2 linked regions of the Oryzias latipes genome follow. The protein of the gene in region 2 binds, or shares a complex with, the protein of the main gene of each other region. Links are inferred from orthologs where the notes say so. Each region holds a gene or a part of one and is shown on either strand. Other genes may lie near its edges.

What was found. The genes of interacting proteins can lie anywhere in the genome.
Region 1: the proteins of tbc1d23 (region 2) and stx16 are in contact, whole or in part, in a crystal structure (PDB 8QQF), measured with the Homo sapiens proteins. The link is inferred for Oryzias latipes from reciprocal best matches to the Homo sapiens genes TBC1D23 and STX16. Residues at the interface, in NP_001186127.1 of Homo sapiens: Leu638, Asn639, Ser640, Val641, Val642, Lys643, Ile644, Thr645, Ser646, Lys647, Lys648, Ser661, Ser662, Ala663, Ile666, Thr683, Lys687, Ile690, Met691; in NP_001001433.1 of Homo sapiens: Asp209, Asp210, Asn211, Thr212, Leu213, Tyr214, His215, Arg216, Phe218, Thr219, Glu220.

Annotation. Positions count from the first base shown.
Region 1 is NC_019863.2:27,695,513-27,699,566, forward strand, and holds the start of stx16 (syntaxin-16), read right to left. Parts: upstream 2,812-4,054; 5' UTR 2,487-2,811; coding exon 2,361-2,486; intron 1-2,360. UniProt on the Homo sapiens protein: SNARE involved in vesicular transport from the late endosomes to the trans-Golgi network.
Region 2 is NC_019862.2:28,284,959-28,289,160, reverse strand, and holds the start of tbc1d23 (TBC1 domain family member 23), read left to right. Parts: upstream 1-1,392; 5' UTR 1,393-1,456; coding exon 1,457-1,494; intron 1,495-2,522; coding exon 2,523-2,634; intron 2,635-4,202. UniProt on the Homo sapiens protein: Putative Rab GTPase-activating protein which plays a role in vesicular trafficking. Involved in endosome-to-Golgi trafficking.

The DNA of each region.
Region 1 (4,054 bases), on a different chromosome or scaffold from region 2:
TGAAATGTCATTGAAAGTCAGTAATCCTACACCTGAGCGTGCTGCAGCTTTGCAGAGCTGAAATCTGATCTTTCCACTGGCAGAAAAAGCTGCTTCAGGGATCGTCTTTTCAGGTCTGTTTGTTCATTGACAGGCCTGAACGAAAAACTGACACCTGGGTCAATATTTTCCAATATTTCAAGCATCTTTTGTTTGCTAACTTAAGTGGTATTGCACAGATTTCTATCCACATTGCTTGGACGCAATTTAATAAATCAAATAAATATATATATATATATATATATATATATATATATATATATATATATATATATATATATATATATATATATATATATATATATATATATATATTTATTTGATTTATATATATATATATATATATATATATATATATATATATTTATTTGATTTATATATATATATATATATATATATATATATATATATTTATTTTTATTTTTTTTTACTAAAAAACAGATTAAAGTCTACAACAACAACAAAAGCAAGAGAAAATGTACTAGCTAGCAGGTAAAACTACCAAACTCTTCACAGGGATTAAGCTACATTGCCAGCTTCCAGCTTCATGTCAGGGTTTTCTCTAGTTATGCCCTTTTTTAACACAAACTACAAAATTTGATGTGAATTCACCATTAATACATGCACTTTTAATAAGACTAAATAATAAATATTCAGTGATTTAACGTGATAATCAGATTGTTTATTTGTTTTATACTTTTACTTTATGTTTAAATAGTATTATTCAAGTTCTTTTAACTCTACAAAGATTTATTAAATGCCCGCTCCAATGAAAATCCTGTTTTTAGAATTTTCTTTATTTCACACCTTTCTTTATTAACATCCAACCGCTACAGGAGATCATTCCTAACTCACTCCATTGAACTTTATAACTCATCCTCCATTCGCCATAGTTAACCCGTTTCGATATATTCTCCCATATTTCCCTGATTGTCACTCATTGCTTTTTATTTTTATTTGTTTGTATTGAGCCTGTATACGGTCGCTGCAACAACCACATTTCTCAAGCTGGGATCAATAAACCATTGTTATCTCATCTTGTCTTGTTCTTGTGGCATTTTTCCCCTAACGAAGGACACATATATAGACAATTAAGCTTAAAATTGTGTTTCTGAGTATTTCATCATTCACATTGTTGGGAATTAGGAGCAAACTCATAAATGCCGTTTGAAAAAGGTTTTAGCTGTCACGTAGGAGCTACCAGCTCCGCTCCATTCTGATGCATCCACTTGCAGACAAATAGATTCATGTACATCTTTGTTTCTGGATAGCTCCAACATTTCTCATCATTTTTGTTGCACCAGAAACGCTAGGTGGGGGCTGATTAAAAAGGATTGGAGTGGGACTTTAAAGAGTTAGAAGTTTTAGTCTTTAGAGTAGGTTGGCTCTGTGTTCTGTGTAGCAGTCTTGTAAAATTATCAGCTCTATAAAGCCTTTGCTACATCGCTCCAGTGGAACAAATTAGGTAAAAGACTTCAAAAGACTATTTTAAAACAGAATTCATTGTCTTTTCTTTATTATACAGACAAATGGTGCACAGAGCCTTAAAAATCTCTTCCACTGGTGTCAACAGAGATGCTGCTCCTTTGCTGGCAGTCGATTTCAGAGCAACTGTTTGTGTTCTGTCATCATTTCTGACTGAGGGGCCAAAAGTGGTTTGTTGGATTATAATTGGTGGCGCTAAGTAAACAACCAATACTTTTTAAGTTGATTTATCGACACGGTTTCACACATTACAATAAAAAAAATTATAACCAAATAATTTAAGACCTCTCCTTTCAAACATCACACCTTTTCAGGGGCATACCTGTGAATTTGTAAATTCAAGACTTATGGGACATATAAAACCTTAAGATGAACCCTGCTGGAAGAAAATATGAAGGAAGAAAGCTTTTTAGCATGCTGTTAAGGTACAAAGTGAAGTAAAAAGAAAATAGTTTTGTGTTCAATTTGTCACAGTGAAACAACCAGTGTGGGCGAGTCAGAATCAAAGTGCAGCACACGTGGACATAAAAGTATGCTGCATGAATTGCACATTTCAAACGACAAAGTTAAAGTCCTTTTTTGTTTTTAAGAACTGCAATTAATTGTGAAAAAAATATACACAACACAAAACCTAATTTTTAACTAAACTGCATTGTCTTCATCCTGTTTGACACAGACTGGTTTGGGCTGCTACAACACTACACCAACACTCACGAAGACAATCCAATCTGATCAAAAATACATAAAAAATACAGTATGACTCTAGCTAGGGGGGCTGGTTCACTGGCTAAACGCAAACACACAGTAAAAATGTCAAAACGATGCAGACCACTCACCGCAGCATTGCTACGTGTACTCAGACGGGGCTCGTATGTACTCACTTGCTCAGCCAATATGTTCCGATTTTGGATTGCATTGTTCCGCATTAACAAGAAGGCATCTGTCAGACGCCGAGTGGCCATGACTGCCTTGCTTGAGGTCTAATGACAATCAGTGCAGATCAGCCGATGGTGGAGGAAATTTGGTACACTGACTGACTCGCTGCTAAGTTATCACTAGCGTTAGCTTAGTTTGTGACTAATGAGGACAACAAGCGAGGCAGTTCCGATATAAGACGTTCAAAAGCTTAAAGATGGATATTTTAAACATCTCTGAATAAAGGATTAATGATAGTTAACATGGCCGCCGGTGTCCTGTCAAATTTGGAATTTAGGATCGGGTTAGAAAAGCCGCCTCTTCGCTACCAAAGAGCTACGGAAGTAGGACAACGTAAACACCCACGTCATCATTTTCTTCTTCTACTATCATTTACACCAACAAATCTGACAAACTGGTAGTTATTGCCACCTACTGGTTCTGGAAGGAACATTCAATTACAATCACTGGAAAAGTGATTAAAAACGAGGTTCCTAGAGTTTTATAGTAAGTTATATAAAATGTGTTGTGCTCTAAATTCTTTTATGGTACTTCATTTTATTTTTGAATTTATGAATTTTGTCACACAATTATTTTCATCAGTTTAAGAAGCTTGTTCAGTCTCAATCAGAAATGCACACACTCTGATTCACAAATATATATTTAAGCTTCATGTGGATTTATGAATTTATGTTACATGTTTGCATAAATGTATAGTTGTGAATCAGAGCATGTGTATTTGTGAAACAGTTTGTCTCCATTTCTGATTATTGAGACTGAATACACTTCATAAAGTAAGATACCTAGTTATTTTGAAATATCAGTGAAAGATAACAACCTACTTTCAATGCTTATAAAAGAGGTGCAAAAGAATAAAATTGGCCAAACCTTCATTATACTTTTATGACATTTTGACAAAATCCAACATCCTGCATCCATATTTTTTTAGACACATCAGTGACAGGATTGTTGTTATGAAAAAAAACATGTTTTTTTAAATACCAAAATTTGCACATTATTTTTTTGTTTTTGTTCTGCCTGATTTCACAAGACAATCTGATAAACTGTTAATTGGTCTTCCAAAACCATCTGCTGAGTTCTTCCCCTTTTACTCAATATTTTTGACTACTTTTTTCATCTTGAGTAATATTATTTTGAAGTGAAACTGTTCCTTCTTGAGAGCAAATTTTTTGATACTTCATTACCTTGGAAAAAGGGATTTGTAGCACATTTTCATAATAAAGCAAATGTTTGATTATGAAAAATAAATTCCTCAGTGTTCATAGAATCGGCCTGATTTCAACTATGGCCTTGGCAAAAACATGTGAAGTGAGCAATAAAGTAAAACTCATTTTTTGTCCCTTCAGGGAAACTGATCCAGCTGTCCATAGTAAATAACAATCCAAGACTCTGAGTGTGCACATTTTCACAAATGCTGTTTTAAAAAGAGAATACATGCAAGTCAACAGAAATATTCACTTTCACTATGACGTTTTGCTGCAGTGAATCGTTTCTGGGTGAGGTAGATGTTGGAACAGGGATGAACTGCAGAAAACATCTGCTCCACCAGCACGTGTGTCACTTTTGTCAGTTCGGCGGACTCATAATCTGTGTG
Region 2 (4,202 bases):
TGTTTTTTCTTTATATTAACAAAAAAAGATTTAAATATTTTCCAACTGTAATGGAAACGTTGGCTAAAAAAGTTTCATCCTATTTTAAAAGAGCACCTTTGGCCCCTTTCCTAAGAAATTTTGGAAACACCTCTAAAAACAATTCATATCTACTTTTATAAAAATGCACAAAACATAATTCCTCACTAATACAAAACTTAAAAAAAAAACACAAATTTTAAAAACTTTTGTTCCTTCGCTCTAGAGGAAAAATACTTTAAAATGGGTTTAAAAAAAGCTGTTTGTCACTTGAAAAACATTTAAAAATGACTCCTTTCAGCTTACATTTTCATTTATTTACATTTTTTAACTTTCACATAAATTTCTACTTTCGAAAAGTATAATCTGTAAAAAACAACTGTCTACTTTTGTTTCCTTTTACATTTATTATAATTATTCATTCATTCATCTTCTGCTGCTGTTTTATCCCTTTCGGAGTCACTGGGCTGCTGGAGCCTATCCTGGCCACTTGTGGGTGAAGGCAGGGTACATTTTAACAGTTCAATGTATTTACAATTTAAATCAATATTCTCTTGTTTCATTCCAGATTTTAAGACTTTCACTCAACATTCTTGTGAATATTATAGTTTTATTGTGAGACACAGCATTTCTGCGAGTCTCTGCGACCAAGTAGGGGCACTTTTCAGTGTCCATATATCCAGTGTCCATATACCGGATCCAAGCCTGGATAGAAAGGAAGGAGTTGTGTTAAAGAATGGTAGCTTCTTAAAACTGAATATTGATTTTATTTATTTTTATATCAATAATTCATAGAATACCGAGAAAAACAATATTTACAAATTTTAACGAAAATATATATTTTTTTTATTTTCTTGATAATTGGAACTATGGTGCCTAATTTTTATTTTTATTTTTCTATGTGCGTTTAGGGCTTTGGTATAGACCTTTACTTTGTCATATTAAAAAGGTTCTATTATCATACAATTTAAACTGAAAAGAAAACACAGAGTCCCTTTATATATATATCTAAGTATCTAAGTATCTATCGATCGATCGATCGAGAGATATATATATATATATATATATATATATATATATATATATATATATATATATATATATATATATATATATATATATGTGTGTGTGTGTGTGTGTGTGTGTGTGTGTGTGTGTGTGTGTGTGTGTCTGTGTGTGTGTAATGGTTAGTGGTTGACGAAGTATGCATTTTCAATTATTAACGCACACCGTGGAATATATTTGTATTTATATTTATATCAATATATATATATATTTATATCTATATATAACAATACATAATGAAAAACCTCAGCATAAACTTTTATTTAATCAGAATTCTTACTTTGAATATTTGCATAGAATAAAATAAAGCGTACGCGTTTACGACACATTGACGTACGGCTGACGCGTGACGTGTCTCTCTTGGAACACAACAATGGCGGACGCTGTAGAGGAAGCTCTTCAGGGAAGCTGGTAAGAATTTTCCTTCTAGCATTTTCCCTTCTGTGTTATTCTAAGCGTCAACATGTCTTGACAAATTGTTATCGACTGATTTGACGCGTAAATAATCGACGCAGGTGAGCTGCTTCCTTAACGGTCAATTTTAAAGCCAGCTAGTAGTTTAGCTAGCGAATGCTAGCCTGCTAATAATAAAGAGTAATCAGTGGCGACTTGTTTATCCAATTTCTTGTTTTGGTTGACAGTGCACGTGCTAAAATAAAAGCAATAGATATTTTTTCCCAATAAGTATTTACACAATGTGGAATACTTTTGCTTAAGTCAGCGGAAAACTTAAGTCAGCCTTTTGGCTCTCGTAACTTGACAGTTACCGGTTTCTCTGTTAACTGCCTCTTTTAAGTCATTTTCTGACCAGCATTTTTGTTTTGATTTATTTTTTACCTGTTCTAACATATAATTACATATAGTGTAAAAATCTCCACGCCATTCTGTCAGTCAGTGCCGGTGAAGTTAACTCACTGCTTAAGGACTGATTTAACCCTTGTGCTATCTTAGATGACCCCACCCTTATTTCTTCCTACCATGACAAAGGTGGATAAAGGTGGAAAGATTTCATGTAATCCATGGACACCAGTGAGGATCACAAATCATTGAAGAAAAAAGGTTCAGAGCACTGTCTAGTGGGTCTAGATGACCCAACTCCCAATGTTAAAGTGCCTAGGATAGCACAAGGGTTAATGGAAGTGGTGATAACATAGAGGTCCTGTTTGTCATAATCCATAATAGTCCATATTAGTTAGGCATTTGCTTGGAAACAAATTGATGTGAAAGCCACTCTGTACCTATTTAAAAAAAGTCTATATTATTGGTTTCTTAATCTTTTTTAATTTTAAAATTACTAAAAATCAACAAGATGATCTCATGTTTGATAGCATTTCAATCACACATCGTTTTTAATGCATTCAGGGGGAAAAAAAGCATTAATATGCTGCATAATGTATAAAAGTCCTCAGAATTAATGGATTGCTGTGTCTGTTAATCAGGGATCAGGAGCTAGCTGAGGCTCTGGACTCTGGGAGCTCTGACATGGAGATGGACAGAGGGATCGCTCAGGTCCAAGAGCAACCAGCACAACACAGAGTCAAGATGTGGACGGTGAGAAACTTGTTAGGTCCTTCTTAACAGATGGGAAAATAGCTTTATATTTTTGTGAAAAATGGTTATTAGTCAGGGGGAAATCTTGGATTGTTTTGTTTAAATTCCTGCCCATACAGATTACTGACGAATCACAAATTAGTTCACCAGTAAAATCCTCTGAGCAAAAAAGAAGTGCAGAAAAATAACGGTAAAAGGAAATTCAACTGTTCACTAAAACAAAAACACTAAAGGTGAAAGATTTAAAACCCCACTCAAATGAAAATTGCGTTTTTGATGTTTTTAACATGTTTTTAGTATTTTTCTGATGCTGAGGGGGGGATGTATAAAAAAAAGCAAAAATGAATTTCTGAGTATTTAATTGTTGTTTATTAGGATCAGAGAAAGAAATGCAGTTTTAAAAAGAAATTGTATTTGTTGCTAGGAGAATAAGCTGAGTTGGCTATAAGCTCTCTGCTCCATTCTGATGCCTCCACTTGTAGACAAACAGATCCATGTACATCTTTGTTTTCCTCGTCCGAGCTGGTATCTGGATCAAAACTGTACAGCTGGATAGCTCCAATATTGCTCACCATTTTTGTTGCACCGCTAATGTTAGATTGGCGGTGTAGATGGGTAACAGATTGGTAATGGGAAGTGGGGGCGGGGTTGCACCACACCAACTGTCCTGCCCACTACTGAGAAGTGAATTTCTGATGAACTCCTGCCGCTCTGCAGAAACGATGTCAAAAAGCAACACAGGGGTTTTTTGATTTTGGCTAACAACGGCGTAATCGTGATTTAAAAGACCACTGGGAATGCTTAGACAAAAAAATCAAAAAATTATCTGAGTGGGTCTTTGAATTAGAAATAATGATTTCTTTACAGCTTACTTACCAGCTGTTGAATATTAAAATACTGTACTACTCAAATTACAGGATGTTCATTAGGACAGAGAGTGAACCAGGGAGGGCTCCAGTTAGAAATGACAGTTATGCTGGATTTTTATTAAAATAAGCAAAGGTCAAACAGGAAGCTAGAACTTCAAATCATCAATAATTTCGTGTAACTACATAAAAAGTTAAAAAAAAGACTAAAATGAAACATTCAGTGCTTTGGCAGAGGTTAAGACACTTAAAGTGTTCTATTGAGGTTAAATATGCTGGAATGCAAAAGTGAGTCTGTCTCTAACTTTGGAGTAGTACTGGAAATACCAGCCTTTCATGTTTAAAAGGAAGTTTCGCTGTCTAATAATGACACTTCTCCCACTCTGACGTAAGCAACACTCCTGTCATTGTTTGAATTTTTGCTTTTGGATTGTTCTCTACAGGTAATGAGAGTTAAACCAAAGCTTTGCTTTCTAAAATCTGAATTCACTTTGAGTCCTTGTGCTTGATGATTTATTTTGGTACTTCTATTTGTAAATAAAGCTCTGGGCAGGTTTTTGAATGGAACATAAAGTGTTATTGTCTAAAACATGTTGTTTCAGAGAGATAGCCCATTAAGTTTTATTGTTAAATTATGAAGACGTATTTTATTTAAATATAAGCTTTATTTCTCAGCATTGAATGTTTTTTTGTTTTTTTTTG